Linked DNA regions of Oryctolagus cuniculus. The protein of the gene in region 2 interacts with the protein of the main gene of each other region in a biochemical or structural test. Links are inferred from orthologs where the notes say so. Each region holds a gene or a part of one and is shown on either strand. Other genes may lie near its edges. The genes, in order: SIX1 and EYA2.

Region 1 (8,011 bases), on a different chromosome or scaffold from region 2:
GAGATTTCCCTGCGCGAGCCCCTCCCGCAGAGGGGGGCCTTTTTTCCGTGGCCCAAGACGCAGAGAATAAACACCCTAGTGACTTAAATAAACACCGACTTAATGATCCAAAACACTAACAAGGGAGCCTGGGACCCTGAGCCCCAGCCCCGGTGACGGTCTCATAGCGGCCCTGTGTACATCTGTCCATCACCGACGGGAAAATGACTTTATAAGTAAAAGCCACTACGGTCAGACACGGCGCGCCCAGCTCTCAAAGCAACCTGACAGCTAAAAAACAAAACACACAAGCACACCCCTCCAGGCTCCGGAACCAGGACAGGAACAATAAGAAAGCCTAAGAAAGAAATGAACACATCCATGGTGACACGTATAGATGGGGAAAAAAATAAAAATTATGTAACTGTCATGTCAGAAAGTAAACTCTCCCTAGGGAACAATATTTTACAAAGCACAAGCAAGCCACTCCTGTTATCCTGAGTAGAGTTTTAATAAATAATGCCATTTGTTCACTAATTTTTAAAGCTAAATACAGAAGATACATCATTTTGCCTCAGGCAAAAAAAAATAATATGGAGCCTACAAGATTATTGGGATTTTTCTGGACACTACCAGGCAGCCCTGAAAAAAAAAAAAAAAAGCCCCTGTTCTGCTGGTCTTCTTTCTCTCTGCGCAGATTCATCCACAATGTGTCTCTCCTTGGTCGAGTTCCCTATTTTTCCCCCCAAACAGATAAATTATTTTTAATTTCACAGTGTTGTCATAAATTTATTAACACAAAAGAGCTACCATATAAATGCCATTAAGAACTAGTGGTAAACGAAACTGCATATCTAAATAATAAAAAATAAATAAATACTCCAAAGCTAAACTCACTTTTCTCTGTCATACTATTAAGTTAGGTAGGACTCTTGATTCAGGTGATGGCCTTAAAAGTCACCTTGTAATTCATAACCACCGTTAAGTCGGAAAGCATTAAAAAAAATAGGGCCCAATGACAGTAATACACAACTCACCTTTGAGAAACAGAATCGTACTCCTGGTGTTCTACCAAGTTTTAATTTAGACTGGTTTAGGTACAATAGAAAAGAAACCTGAAAACACATGCTGTTTTAGTAACGAATACCAGGACGCCAGATCTGTCGCCACATTGTGCAAGCTGGACGCTGGGCACAGGAGAGCCCCGTGAGCAGGAGGCGGCTATGGGCTGACAGCTGTGAGCACAGGAGACCTAATGCATTCAGGAAAGTTATTTTTCACATTGGTACATTTTTAGAGTTTGTCACTTAAAAAAAAAAAAACCAAGAAAACAAACAACAACCAAAAAAAAAAAAACCCCACCAAATTTGACAATAAAACAGTTGTATCACTAATGTTGACTTCTATTCTAACTGCCTCACACTAGACAGTATTAAGACATTTAGGCACTTGGTTTTCCCCCTAATACTGTTCTTTTATTTTAATCTACATAAAATTATTTAACACTAAATATGAAAAATGTAAACTTAATTTTCCCATCATCAAAAAAAAAGTGGTATGATTATATTTTTCCTACTCATGTTAAGAATACAGCCAGTTCCTCCAGGCAGGAGGTTCCTATTTTCATAATTATTTTGACACCTCTCTCTCTCTCTCTCTCTCTCTCTCCATTTCTTTTTCCTCTTTCCAAAATAGTTTTCCTTAAATAAATTAAAAGAAAATAATTAAAATCCAGTTGACTTGCAATTCCTGTTCATTGGGGGGGAAAGAAAAGAAAGGTATTCGAAGAAGGTGCATTGGTCGCTCAGAACAATGCCTGGGTGCTTTTGTTTTTGGGTTTTTCCCCCCCTTGATCTCCACACTGGGACGGGAAAACGCAAAAGTGAAGGGTCAGAGAGAAGAGGGAGACTAAAGTTTGAAATCACCATCGGCTTCGATTTTTTTCAAGAGATATCTGTGGCAGTCCACCATTCCTTTATGCGCAAAGAACCCCAGAAACAAGCTGCAAGGGTGTTCCTGATTCCTATTTACAAGTGTCCCTAGTCGCTCTGGTTGGTTGCTGTTCCAGCCATCCCTTCAAGGCCCAGGGCCGCCCCCGCTTAGGACCCCAAGTCCACCAGACTGGAGGTGAGGGGGCCGAGCAGAGAGTCCTGCAGCTGGTGCTGGTGAGCCTGCAGGCCGTGGCTGGGCTGCGAGGCGGCTAAGCCCGGGAGGGAATAGTTTGAGCTCCTGGCGTGGCCCATGTTGCCCTGTAGCAGAAGGACCGAGTTCTGGTCTGGACTTTGCGGAGGTGAGAATTCCTCTTCTGAGCTGGACATGAGCGGCTTGCCCCCTTCCAGAGGAGAGAGTTGATTCTGCTTGTTGGAGGAGGAGTTATTGTTTTCCGTGTTCTCCCTAAGACAGACAGGACAACACCATATGGTTACAAAAAGAAAAAAAAAAAAAGTGTGAGCTGGAGGGAGGGGCGCTGGAAGGAGGAGAGGGCCATTGTGCAATCTGTCACCAACCCAAATGGAAGGGCTCTGCCGCCGTCGCCCCCCTCTCCACGGTCCCTGAGGGTCACAGAGGAGGTGAGGAGGCAGAAATTAGGGACACAGCCTGCCGCGGGGAGCCAGGTCTCTGTCATTCCCAGATTTCAGAAAGCCAGATGCACAGGTCTTACTTGCAACAAACAAAAAACGTGCCAAGGCCTTGCATTGAAACGCCTACCAACTAAGAGCACATTCAGACGTTAACGGCGAACTCTTCCAACAAATGGTTGTTGATGATAGAGAAATGGCCAGGGGACAAACGCAGCGCCCAGGGCACACATGTTTGGGGTACATCGAGTCAATTGCTCTGTTCCCATCTGCGGAAACAATTAAACGAGGAGCTTCCCTGCCCCCCTGCCCGGAGGTGGCGGGTTCGGAGGCACTGGACGGGTCACGGGAAGTGGTGCCCAGCGCGGCCCAGTGACCTGAGCAAACACAGGGAGCGCGGCCAGTCTCTCGGATTTCATCAGGGAGTGGGCCCTTGGGCCCGGCTTCTGGGATGGCGTTTTGAAAGTAAAGGCTAACTGGAACCTGCTGCCCTGCGACTTGCCCACTGCTCAGCCCCTCGCGGCCCCTGTCAAACTCGCCGCCGAAGCTCACCCCAGGCCAGTCCCCTCCGACCGGGGAGCGGAGCTGCCCGGCGCGCCCGTACGCGCGTCCAAGGCACCGAGTCCGGGTTAGCTCCAGGGCGGCGCTGCCCTGGACGCTTCCGCCTTCCAAGCGCTCGCGGGTCCTCCCCAAACCGGCGCCCGCCGCTCTCCCCCTCCCTTTCCCCGGCCCGCGGCCTCTCTCCCAGACAGCCCATTTCAGCTGAACGTACACGATCCCCCCCGCGGTTTTCCACCCCGAGGGGGAAAGAGGAAGCCAGATCTTCGGGCCCCCAGGCTTGGAAGCGAACAAAGGAAACCCAGCCGGCCCTTGCGCTCAGGTTTCCCCCAAAACTCCTCGGCTTCGCGGAGCGCTCTCCTCGCCGCCTTCCCAGTCTCGGTCGGAAACTCCAGCGCACGGATGGAGGCCGGCCAGGTGGCCGAGGGTGTTGGCGCTAGGAGGGGAGAGGCGGAGGCGGATTGGAAATAGATTGCCTTCTGCGCCCCAGGACCAGTGGCGTCTGCGCCTGAGACCCCTCCGTCGCCCCGGGCGGCGGCACGGACCGGGGGCGGACGGGCTGCGGCGCCCCGGCCACACTGCCAGGGGCGATCCCTTCTGGCTCGGGGCGCCGGGGCGGGGAGCGGTACCAGCGGCTCCAGCTCTCCCCCAAGCCCTCCTCGCTGTGCGTTTAGTTTAAAGACGCCTGCCTCCCTTTGTCCGGCTAGGGCGGAATGAAGCAGGCGACTCCCAGGCCGGAGACCAGCAGGACGTAGCGAGGGGAGAACCGGGTGGCAGGGGGGCCCAGCCGACGGCTCGGGGCGGCTTCACCGCTCCGCTCAGCCCCCGCCGACCCGCGTTCTCCGCGATCCCCATTCGACGCCTCCCTCGCCGTTCGTCCGGAGGTTCTCACCCTTCGCCCAGCTCCTGGCCGCAGCCGGCCGGGAAGGCTCCAAAAACAAATCTAGCGCCAATACTTCCCAACACCCACGACTCAGAGAGGCCCGCGCGCGGCGCTCAGAGCCAGCGAGGCCCCCGTCCCTGGCAAGCAACCTCCGAGTTCACGAACTTTCGCTGCGGAACCCGCCGAGGCCCGGGCGCCGCCCCGCGGACGCGCTCCCGCTGGCGGGGAGCACCGAGTGGCGGGTGCCTGCGGGGGCGGGGAGGGGCGGAGGGGTTGGGAAGGCTGCCCGGGGTCGCCCGAGCGGCGGGAACCACGCCGCGTACCTTTCCTTGGCCTCGGCAGCCCGGTCTCTTTGCCTCCGGTTCTTAAACCAGTTGCTGACCTGCGTGGTGGTGAGGCCGGTGGCCTCGGCCAGCTCCCGCTTTTCGCGCGGCGAGGGGTAGGGGTTGTGCGCGTACCACTCCCGCAGCACGCCCCGCGACTTCTCCTTGAAGCAGTAGCTGGTCTCCTCGCCGTCCCAGATGGTGCGCGGCAGCGGGAATTTTCGGCGCACCCGATACTTGCCCACGGCGCCCAGGGGCCGGCCGCGGAGCTTCTCGGCCTCCACGTAGTGCGCCTTCAGCCAGAGCTGCTGCAGTTTGGGATGGTTGTGCGGCGAGAACTGGTGGCTCTCCAGGATCTTGTAGAGCTCGCGGAAGTTGCCGCGGTGAAAGGCGACCACCGCCTTGGCCTTGAGCACGCTCTCGTTTTTGTGCAGGTGGTCGCAGGCGGGCAGCGACCACAGGAACCTGCCCAAGCGCTCCAGGTTTCCCCCTTGCTGCAGAACCTCGCACACGCACGCCACTTGCTCCTGCGTGAAGCCGAACGACGGCAGCATCGACATGGCTGAGGCCTGCCGGGGCGCGCGGCTCAGGCGCACGCGGCAGGGAGCAGAGCCCAAAAAGCGGCCGCTGGGAGAGGGGCGCGGCTGCTCCTAACCCCCTCCCCAGGCTTTGCGTGGAAGAGCGAGCGAGTCGGAACTTGGGGGGGTGGGCGGCCGAGGAAGACGCGGAGGAGCGGGGCGTGGAGGGGGGGGGGCGGGCGGCGCGCTGGACGCCGAGCGGCCGGCACACTCCTCAGCCTTCCGGGCTTCGCTGGCTCCGGCCTCCCGCCCGGTGGATGCTGCTCGTGGCCGGGGAAGTTGGTTTCTGTTCTCCCCGCAGCGGCCTTAAAGCGCGCAGCGTCCCCGGCTCGCTGATTGGCTGCCGGCGGCGCCTATCCGGGGCTGGCCTGCCCGCGCACCGCCCGGCCGGGCCGCTGGGCCGCACCGCCCCGCGCGGGGAGGGCGAGGCTGCCGAGCGGGGGGTAGGGAGTGGTGGGAGGCGAGTGACCAACCCTAAGAGGTGGGAAGCGAGGTGCGGCCGGTGGGAGGGAGCCGCGCTGCGGGGGTGGGGGAGTGGGCGAAGAGTCGCCGCACTGCAGCGCGCGCCCCCTCGCCAGTGTCATCTAAGGGGAGCCGCGCGCGTGTCCGCACGAATCAATGGCCCTGAGCGTTCTAATTCCCCTCCTCTCCCTCGGTGCTCCTGCCTCGGCCCCTTGCAGACTGGCCCTTTCTCGGTGAGCTCATATTTAATTACCTTAATGTTGGAATGAATAAATAATGGATTGATGAATAGCGTATGGAACGCGATAAATAATACAAGAACCGACCCGGGCTCTGGGCTGCGGGCGCTAGAGAAGTGGTTTCTCTCCCCGGGTTCGCTACAGCCCCAGGGGCCCAGCCTCGCCCCTCCCCACCCCCTTCCTTCCTCTCCCCTCTCCCCACCGCCTTCCGCGGGGCACTGGAATTAGCCGCCGGACCGCGTCCTCCGAGGGCCACCCGGGTTTGCGACATGGCGAAGAGCTGGTTAAAAGAGAGTCGCTTTTGTCGGGTGGCGACTTCGAGGGTTCGTGGCGTTCTGCGCCGTACAGGAGCCAGCAGGCTTCTAGCCTCAGTTTCTCAGCCGCGCGATCGCTCTCCCACGCCGCTTCTGCTACTGAGGAAAGCCTAGAAGCTTTGCTTGCCATTAGCAAAAATGCTTTGGGAAAGGCGCTGGACGGGGTGTAAATTAAATAAAACTGTGCCCCGGCTCCAGTAACCGTCGGTTGTAACGTAATCCTTTGCCCTGCTCTGAGAGGGACACTATCCTCAAAGGGACGCGGACAGTGGTTGCAAGAAGATGATTAAATAAAGACTGCATGTGCGCGTGTGCGTGCGTGCGTGTGTACTACCAGACAACAGAGATGTCTGGCAATTTCAGTCCCGTCATCTGCTATTTTGCTCCATGTGTGAAGAATGTGTAGTAAAACTGCACCAACAAATGAAGCTGTAATTATCTTAAGCCTCATTTGCACACCTTGTTCCAAAGCAATTATTAAAAAGATTCTGAAAACAATTAGCCTCTCTAAACAGAGATAATCTATTGTCAGTAGCTGAGACTGGCAGGAGATAAGAACAATGAGTGGAGATAAGGGAAGCCAAATGGTGGAAGGAGAAGGACTTTATGACTATACTTATCTCTGATTAGATAAGTTCAAAACAGAATTTTAAGTACACTTCAAAAATGCTTTTGATTGCAACGCGCCCTCTTAGGGGATGGAGAAGAACAAACCCTAGGCTCTTTAAACTTGCTCATCTTCTTTAAATATGTTTGGATTCCATCAGTCAAAGAGCCCTGCATTACAGAATCTGTAGCATAGAGAGACATAAGTGGCAGGAGGAGAGCCTGTGTGGGTTTCTCCTTGTATAATTTATATGGTTTTAAAATAATGCACCCCACCCAGTGCACCCTGCAATGTCCATGGTCAACTCTTACAGGTTTCCCACGTCAGCGCCGCCTCTGGGGAGATTCAAGCAGAGAGGGAGCTGCCTCCCTGCTGAACTCCTACACAATGCTTTCTGCAGCCTGCAAGCTCTCTGTATCCCATGCAATTAGACGCTGGAAGCAGATGCTGATATTTCATTACCTCTAGGCTAATTTTTTTTAAAAAAATGCATTTAATGGGTGCGTGTGGTTTCAAAAGAACCCCTGCCACATGGTACGCTCAGTGACTTACTTGCTAAACTAGAAGCCTGGCACTCTGAGTCCAAGGCCATGTGTCTGGTAATTTTCCCTCGCTGTCTTATTTTAGTGCCCGTGATGTTTTCAGATGAAGTCTTGAGGAGCTGCGGTGTCCTGCCAGAACGAATGTCTCTGCTTGGAACAGTCTTATTGACAACGCAGCTGTGTGAGGACCGGAACGGAGGCTTAAACCAGGCTCCGAAAATCAGCTAATACCCTAAAGTCTGGAGCAAGTGCGCACAATTATAATGGGGGTGGGGTGGAGGGAGGTCTTGCAGCACAGCCGAGTCCCTGAAAAGACAAACAGTGTGCTGAGTATGCGGTGTGCTTTGTAATTAACAATTTTGTATACGGAAATGAGGCATAGCTTGGACAAATAAAGGCAGGTATAAATTCTACAGGAGATGACAGCGAGCAGAGAGAGGGCGATTAGACGCCAGTAGGACCACCGCTGAAACCCTGCTTCCTCCAGACCTCCCTGCACACTTCTTCCCATCTCTCTTCAGAAGGAAGACGTGGGCGACCGCAGGGAAGACGGGGTGGGTTCTGTGATTGGTGAGGAGCGCCCGAGGTCCGAGGGCCGGTGCCCAAGCCCGCTGGCCCTTTTCTTGGCGTTTAATCCAACCGATCGCGTTAGCTAGAAAGGAAAGTGCTCTGCGCTTTGTTCCAAGGGTCCTACCTGCTATTTCGATCCCTCGGTTAGGGGAACCAATTGTTATAAATGTTAATTATTGGCTCGGATATATAAGGTTTCCCAAAATGGAACCTTTCACTGAAAACCACTAAAAGAGGTAAAATGACATGAATTTACAAACCGCATAAACCAAGCGATCCATTTTAAATCGCACACAGAAAGGTTTGGGTTGTTCTGGTAACATAAAACCTTCGCTGTCAATGCAAATCACACGAAAAACAGAGATGCGTCGGAGGCT
Region 2 (7,985 bases):
CCGGAGGCGGTGACAGCACAGATGGGGGCCCCTGTGCAGGCCAGCCCCCTCTCCCCCCACCCTGCAGGTCCTGCCCCAACCATGCCCCTCGGCCCCAACCGACGCACGGCCCGCCTGCTCCAGATTCAGGAAAGTGGCAAAGATGAGTCTCCCGGTGACCTGACTCTGGGGACCACCTGTGCCCGATTATTCTCTGCTCTCCAAATGTTTATTATCTGACCCCTAAACACTGCACCCGCAACCCTCCAGCACCTTCCGGTAAACCCGACTTGGGCTGCGTCTACCGTAACGTCAGAGGCTCTTTCGACTGCCTGCCGGTAACACTATTGACTCAGTTTAGGAACTGGAGTGCGGGGCATTAAGTATCGAAGGAACAAATCAAATTAGCCCTTGAAAACAAACAGCCATTTTCCCTTACCCAACCTGCTACCCATCCCGACTCTCAGAGGTTCGGATCTGCAGTTTCTAAACACTTCCCAAGATTTTAAGAACTTGTCGACGCAGCTTCAGAAAAAAACTGTGGGCCGCGCATTTAAAACCTTCCGTGTCCGGGAAACAATGGCATAGACGCTGCCAGAGCCACAGGTCCCACTGTTTGTGGCCGAGGCTTGCTCTGCAGCCAACGGAAGTCCCCCGTGGCTCTGCACAAGTCATCGGCCGTGGGACTCCGTTTCCTTGTTAACAAAGGTTGGATGAAAATTAAGACTCTCAGGAATCTTCCCTTTAAAACCCACGCGCAGAGCTGATTCCCAGCCTGACATCCGTGGACCCCTCAGCCGGCAGGAATTTAGCATCGTCGTGAAGGGCAAGGACACTTTGCAAGTGACAAAAACGGCCAGGGCACACAAGATGATGCAAGCAGGAAAATGCATTTTAAACAAAATGTAAAAACTGGCGACTTTCTTCATATTCTTTGGCCCTAAATACACCTGGCAGATACCTTCCTACCTGGAAACTGATTGCCCCTCTAATTCATCTATAGACAGAAGTCCAAGATGCATTTGGACACTTGCTTGTCTAAGTGCAGGAGGTTCACACTTGTTGGATTAGAAGGAGTGCTGGTCAACCACCATCAGGCCAGCTCAGAGCTTCCAACAATGAGAGCAAAGCATTGCTCCTGCAAATTCTCCAATTGTTCTCCTACCCGGGTCTCATGGCTGCGGGTTTAGCACTGTTTGAACCGCCACAAAGGAGAAAGGGGGAAAAGTGATCTGGGGGCGCGGCTCGGGGAGAGGCTGGGAGCGCAGGCGTAGGGGGCTGCGTGTTTCTGTTTTCTGTCCCCAGGCTGTGTTTTCTCGGGGCTGGGGCGAGTTCTCTGCACGGAGCTGCCTTCCAAGCAGGGTCCAGCGACTCCACTCCCAGAGCAGCTCACTAGAGAACGCATCATTCCACCGACACAACCCCGCACTGGCTCCAGAGGGTCCTGCCCCTCCCAAGCCCTGCAGCCGGAGAGCCACGTGCGAGGGCAGCACCTCCTTTCATGCGAAGCCTTTGGGGGAAGAAGTTCGTTTCTTCTCCAAGGAGTCCGCATCGGGCCAGCCTCGCTTTCTGTCGAGGGGCCAGGTGTGGAGGAGATAAGGGGCCATCTGACCCTCTCCTGCAGACTCAGCACAACCTGGGACCCAGAGACACCGTCAGCCGGATACGGAGTCTCCCTCCCGCTCCGGCCATCCCGGCAGACAGAAACCCCCAGGCCCCCGAAACACGCGTGCGTCTCCGAGTCATCCACACTCCCTTCTCTCCCCTGCCAGCCGCCGGCTCGCGCTCTCCCTGCCCCGAAAGGCATCTGCCGCGAGCTACTGGGAACCCCGCGTTTTCACCAGAACAGCCCGCGATTTTATTACACAAGGAGTTTATTGCAGGCCTAATTAGTCTCAAACTGGGCGTTCCGGCTGAGGACACCTAACACACATCTGGCGGAGAGCACGAGCCCTCCTTCGGAGCCTCTCGTGCCCGACGCAAGTTATCTTTGGAAAAGTCACTGAAAAAATAAGGAAACGGCTTCTTTGTGGGAAAGGAGTCATCTTGTCACGGGGGAACCAGGACTCGTCTTAAAGTGGACGCGCCTGCACGCTGCAGACTTAAACTGCCAGGTCTCAGCAGCTTCTGCTCCTAACTCAGGGCGCACTCAGCGGCACCACAGAGCCCTCGCCCAGGGCTTTTCCGTTCTCCCCGCGGCAGCCAGCGTTTTATCAATTTCCCCGTCTGGAACACGGCTTGCCATCGCTTCCATGCAATTTAAAGCAGAAGTCATGGCTGCTTAGTAGACACAGTGTGTCTCGGGTCTCGGGTGTTTTTGCCAAATCGTAATCCTGTAACAAGTCAACAAACCATCTCTTTATGACGTGCTTAACACAACATAAAAGGCATGAAAAGAAGATTTTAAAACTTAAGTATCTACAATATTGTTTTTTTTTTCTGTAAAGCCCAACGTACTGGTGTAGACATCTTTTTCTTTTTCTTGCCTTTCCTTAGTTATCTGATATCAAGAAAGTGATTTATGTGTTTATCCACACGGCCACTGTGCCGGGCGAGCTATTTGAGGATGGAGGAAAAGGGGGCCGCTCCTTTCAGATAAATCAGCGAGTGTCCTGAAGTCAGGAGCGAGACGGGGACAGGAGAAGCTGCTACAGAGAAGCCGACAGGGACAGGAGAAGCTGCTACAGAGAAGCCAGGTTGCTCCGTCGCTCAGCCTTCCCCGCAGGCCGCTGCTCACAAGGGCAACACTTAGCTTCCGCCAAAGGCACGGAGATTTTGAATCCAAACCCGGCCCTATGCTTTGTCCAAAGCAAGATTCAAACCGTCACCATTTGTACCGTACATTGCCTGTTAACCCTGCCCAGTCTGCCGAAGTCGGAAGAAGACGACGAAATAGAAGTTTGCGGGGTTACCGTGGTGGGAAGGGGGGCATTTCTTGGGTGAAATTCTTTCCCAAGGTTATTTTGAAAAGGAGTCTCCCCCCACATACACACACCCGTGTCTGCCCCCTTTTTCTCACATGGCGCCGTGGACACCCGCCGACGTGGATACCGGCTCAGGACTCAGACCCAGTCAATGCTAAGAACAGCCTCTCCCCCAAACCCCGGGCGCCCACGGCCTCAGTCTCAAGTGTAGCCGCTGCCCCTGCCCGGGGCCATGAGCCCCTCCAGGGAGGGAGCGACGACCGAACCAAGTCCTCACGGTGGCCCCGAACCCGCGGCCTCCGCCGTCCCCGGGCGCGCCCCGCCAGGCGGTGGCCCCTCACGCAGCACTTCAGGGACACGGGAAGAAAACGCTGTCCACCGCCGTGCAGCCCCCAGCCGGCTCCGGAGGGCGGCGGGGCGCTCGGGGCGCAAGGCGAGGCGCCCTCGCCGCTGCCGAGAAACGCGCGCCCAGGGTCTTTTCCCTGGCCGCGATCACGCGGGTTCCCCGGAGCTTGTCAGCGACTCCTTTCGGGATCTCGGGCCGCAGAGCCGTGCGACCTCCGGGCCGCGGGGCTCCGGGGCCGATCTGCCCCCCACTCTCTCCCCGTACAGGAAAGCCCTCGCCTTCCGCGAGTCGCCTTCGCGCGTGCAGTTCCCAAGTCCCAGCTCCCACTCAGCGGGCGCCGGGGCCGCGCGCTCCGCTACCACGCGCCCGGACTTTGCACGAGAGAGGTCGCGGGGAAGGCGAGGCTCGGCGGCCCGCTCCGCTCCCTCCGCGGTCAGCCACCCGCGCTGCCCTGGGGCGAGCTCCCGGAGCCCCTTCGGACCCGCACGGGAGCGCCTCCGCCACCTTTTCTTATTTTTGCGAACCGCCAGGACCGTAAACGCAACCAAACACGGAAGACCCAGCCCCGTCTACACCGCCTGCGCGCCGTGCACTTGTCCCGCGCGCGGGACTGCTAACTTCAGGGTCGCTCCCCCCACGCCCCGCCAAAGCGCACGGGGAAACTGAGGCTCGGGGCCTGAGGGGGACCTTCCCGAGACAGGGTCTGTCTGGTGCCCCCTCTGCCCCTGGACTCTGGGAGTGGCCCTGGGAGCCCCAGGCGCCCCCGAGCTCCCCGACAGCTGGGAGGCCCCGCTCGGCGAGCGCGGGACCGAGGCGCCGGGCGAGGGGATCCCGGGCAGTTCCCGCCCGGCGAGTCCCGGCGGGCGGCCCGGAGTGGGCGCCGCGGGCGGTACTCACCGCGCGCAGAGGAGAGGGCGCCCCGGCGCGGCGCGGCGCGGGTCGGATGCGGCGGGGCTGACTGCGGCCGGCGCGCTGCTGCCTCTGCTGCCTCCGCCTCCTGGGCTGCCGCGGCCGCTGCCTGCGCGCGGAAGACCGGCCCCTGCCCCTCCCTCGGCCGGGCCCTCCCTCTGCCCCCACCCGGGTCCCCGCACCGCTGCGTGGGCGCGTGGGGGCGCCGAGGCGCGGCGCTGGGCTCGGCCGGCGCACGCGGGGCGAACGGCTCGGGCCCTGCCGATGCGGCCGCGCTGCTCCGGGCGCCTGCAGCCGAGGCGAGCGCGCTCGGCCTCGCGGGTCCTGCCGGGGAGGCGAGCGCCCAGTCTCCTCCCCACCCAGCGGTCCCCAGCGCCGCCTGCCTCCCGGGGCAGCGCGTCCCCCTGCAGCCCGGGCAGGGCCCCTGAGAAAGGAAAGGCTGATGGGAACGAGTGCTCAGCCACGTCGCGGACACTCATTCATTCACTCACCCACCCATTCATTCATTCATTCATTCAGCGTGGATGGGGCCTCCACGTGCCTGCGCAGTGCCTGGCGGATTCCGCTGGAATCAAAACCCTGTTCTGCCCCCCTGGAAGTTACCTACACGCGGAGAGCCAGGCCTAACGCAAACACGCGAAGCCAGAGCAAGGCCACGCTGGGAACTGACCGCACCTGTGGCCCGAGGCGGTAATCCCAGCTACAGCAGTTCCGGAAGGCCTCTGGAAGGAGGTGACATCTGCATCAGGAGACCGTATCCGTGAGACGAGGGTTCACCCATTTCACAGATAAGGAAACTGAGGCCTCAAGAGTGTATTTCGATTACAGGGCCGAAATTAAGCCCCCCCCCCTTAATTCACCGTGGCCTGGCCACCGTGCAGTCTTTGCGGGGTTAGAGGTCTTCCACGGCGTCCGTGCACGCTCCTCTCCCCCTCAGCCACTGTCTAAGCTTATGAATTCCACTGTGGGACCTCCGGGCTCCCGTCTCAAAGCATCCTGGCCCGCCGTGGCCGTCTGTGGGGCTGCAGGAAGTGGGGAGGGCAGCCAGGAGGGTCTCGGGACGGAGCCTGGCGTGGAGTGCGCCCTCCGCGAGCCGTGGGGGTCGGGAATTCCGCCTTAACACAGATTTTTATTTGCTGCACCTGGCAGCCCTATGCCCCTCTAGACTGAACCAGCTTTTGCTGATCTCGCCTCATCCCCCCCTCCCCAAGACTCAAAGGTGGTTGAAGTTCGCAAGCCCATTTTACACGGAAGCCCAGCGGAGGCAGAGCGGCCGAGCCAGCGCTGAAATCCAGGTCTGGCCGGCTCCCAGGCCCTGGCTCTCGCTACTGAAGCGTCTTCAGCTCAGCCGCAAGGGGCCTGGGAACCCCAGGGGCGCTGGGCTCCCGGCCTCTGCACTTGCGAGGGCCCTGCCTCAGGGTCGGGGGGGGGCAGAGAAGCGGTCACGCGGTCACTTGTTCAGGTGCAGTGCATCAGCGTCACTGGCCCTCAGCTCCCAGCCACCAGCAGTGAAGACTGCTCTCCCTCCACGCTGCTCCCCACCTGCAGCCGAGTGCGAGGCCTGGGAGAGGCCAGAGGCAGCCTGGGATCCAGGCAGGGAAAGCTGGCCTGGGAATCTTGCAGTTTTCTTAACCGTTTTTCTCAACTGCTTAACTCTGTTGGGGTGGCGTTTAGCCTAGTCCTACTTCAGAGCGCCTGGCGTCTACTCCCGGCTCCAGCTTCCTGCTAACGTGTGTCCTAGGAGGCCGCAGCCATGGCCCAGGTAGGCGGGTCCCTCTCTGCCACCCATGTGGGAGACCTGGATTGAGTTCCCGCCTGCCGGCTCTGGCCCAGTGCAGTCCTGGCCAGTGGATGGAAACCAACTTCCTCCCTCCCTCTGCCGCCCCCTTTCCTCTCTGTCTCTCAAAGAAATAAACAAAAATCTGCACCGATGACTTCCTAATGTAAAGAAATATTCACTATTTAGTTCTGGATTCATAATCTTGCCTTCTATTTCTGAACAAGGAGCCCAAAACCATATGTGAGGGGCCATGAAAAAATTCATGGAAACGCACACTATGAATCTAAACGTTTCGGTTTGGAGCAAAAGAAACTTCTCGTTTTCCCACGAACTTCTGGAAGGACCCTGGACGGGTCCTGGACCCCTCTCTGGTCGCGGCTTACCCCCCCCGCCCTGCTTCCTGCTGCCCCAGCTCAGGGAGAAGCAAACGTGCCCATCCTCCTCCTCCACGCCCTGAGCAAAACGGCCACAGCCACAGCCATACATTGGACTCTTGCCTTCTCAAGGCCAAGCTACACATAAACTTGGCCTTGATTTTCCCTTCCCTGAAATGGGGTAGCAGCGCTCGTCCTGGATGATTGCTGTGAAGACTCACGGAGGTCATGCGTGTAAAACACTCCCTGCTGGCACGACGGCCGCCACGCACCATGGCTCGGCAGATGTGCTTCCCGCACGCCCAGCCCCTCCCCACAGCATCTTTGCAAACAGATGTGTTGCGTCTACCTTGGCCCGTGAACCTCGGGGCTATTTTTTTTTCCCTAAAGGAATAGACTGGCTTGGGAGATGGCAGGTGAACTGCGTGCAGCCGGCACAGTCATCCCTCGGCATCCGCAGGTGCTCAGGTTCCTTGGAGAGAGTGGCCCAGGCTTGCACAGAACCCACGCAGCCTCGGGGAAGCTCCAAGCCGCCTCTCGCTGACCTGCTGCACCTGCTGCCCGGATCCCACGTCGAGTGGCTGTGTAAGGTTGTGTCGGGAGTAACGACAGGGAAGCCACATCTGTCCATGTTCATACAGACGCACCGTTCTTTTTAGGAGATTTTGGATCCAAGGTTGGTGGAATCCGTGCCTGTGGACGGCGGATTGAATATGTTCATACATGGGTGTTCATGTCTACACGGGCTCTGGGCTAGCGTGTGAACTGTTTCTCCCTGAGGATCAGGGTGTGGGGAAATGCTCAACACTTAGGAACAAAGGGCCCCCATGGAATGTAAGGGGTTAACCCCACTCCCCCAGCGCCCATTACCCGATAATGTGCGGCCGCACCCAGGCCAAGAGAAGGCGGGGCAGGTGCTTCTTGTGGGTCCTTCTCTCAGGGCAGTGGACTTCAGCCCCCTGCCTGTTCACACCCCCAGAGGGGCTTTTAAAGCTCCCCCAGCCAAGGCCCCCAGCCCAGAACAATTGTACGCAACTCTGCAGGTGGGACTGTGGCATGGGCAGCTCCCAGCGACCCCAGGGTAGAGCAGAGGGCGAGAGAAGCCCCATCCTGGGGAGAGGGAAGCCTGACCCCACAGCACCAGCAGAGGGGTAGGAGCGGAGGTGGGACCAGAAGCCTCGAATCTTATTCGGGATCACGGGAAGCGCAGCCGCGGCTCTGCAGGAGTTGCCCTTGTCTCTTTCTTCCCTGAATGTGTCCTTGGTAAGTACCTGTCCTAACGACCTGCAAAATAACTCTAAACAAAAGCCGCACAGGTGACGCCGCCAAGCAGGCTCTTCGGGGTGCAGAGCACAGACACGCCTACTCTCTTCTTCCACGGAAATGCTCTGGGAAGCGAGGAGAGCGTATTCACTCCGCAAACCACGAACTTTACAATGCCCTCAGCATGTGCCTGCGCATCCTACAAACACGCATGTGTCCTCCCCACGCCAAGTCCTGCTGTAGTTCTATGCACACCCCTTTTTTCTATACACATAAGCAGTCTCTCCTTTTTGATGCTTCATTGAAACCTTGGCTCTTTCCAAAAGGATCTGAGGCAGCTGCAAAAACATATATGGCAGCAGAATAAAGAAAACAAGAGAAGCAGGTGATGGAGAAACAAGGGAGGAAAG

The links.
Region 1: the proteins of EYA2 (region 2) and SIX1 form a complex in vitro, tested with the Homo sapiens proteins (2 studies listed by IntAct, with this or other methods). The link is inferred for Oryctolagus cuniculus from reciprocal best matches to the Homo sapiens genes EYA2 and SIX1.

What each region holds. Positions count from the first base shown.
Region 1 is NC_091451.1:9,916,336-9,924,346, reverse strand, and holds SIX1 (homeobox protein SIX1), read right to left. Parts: upstream 4,988-8,011; 5' UTR 4,883-4,987; coding exon 4,323-4,882; intron 2,374-4,322; coding exon 2,079-2,373; 3' UTR 472-2,078; downstream 1-471. UniProt on the Homo sapiens protein: Transcription factor that is involved in the regulation of cell proliferation, apoptosis and embryonic development. Plays an important role in the development of several organs, including kidney, muscle and inner ear.
Region 2 is NC_091442.1:12,761,523-12,769,507, forward strand, and holds the start of EYA2 (eyes absent homolog 2), read right to left. Parts: upstream 4,479-7,985; 5' UTR 4,147-4,478; intron 1-4,146. UniProt on the Homo sapiens protein: Functions both as protein phosphatase and as transcriptional coactivator for SIX1, and probably also for SIX2, SIX4 and SIX5.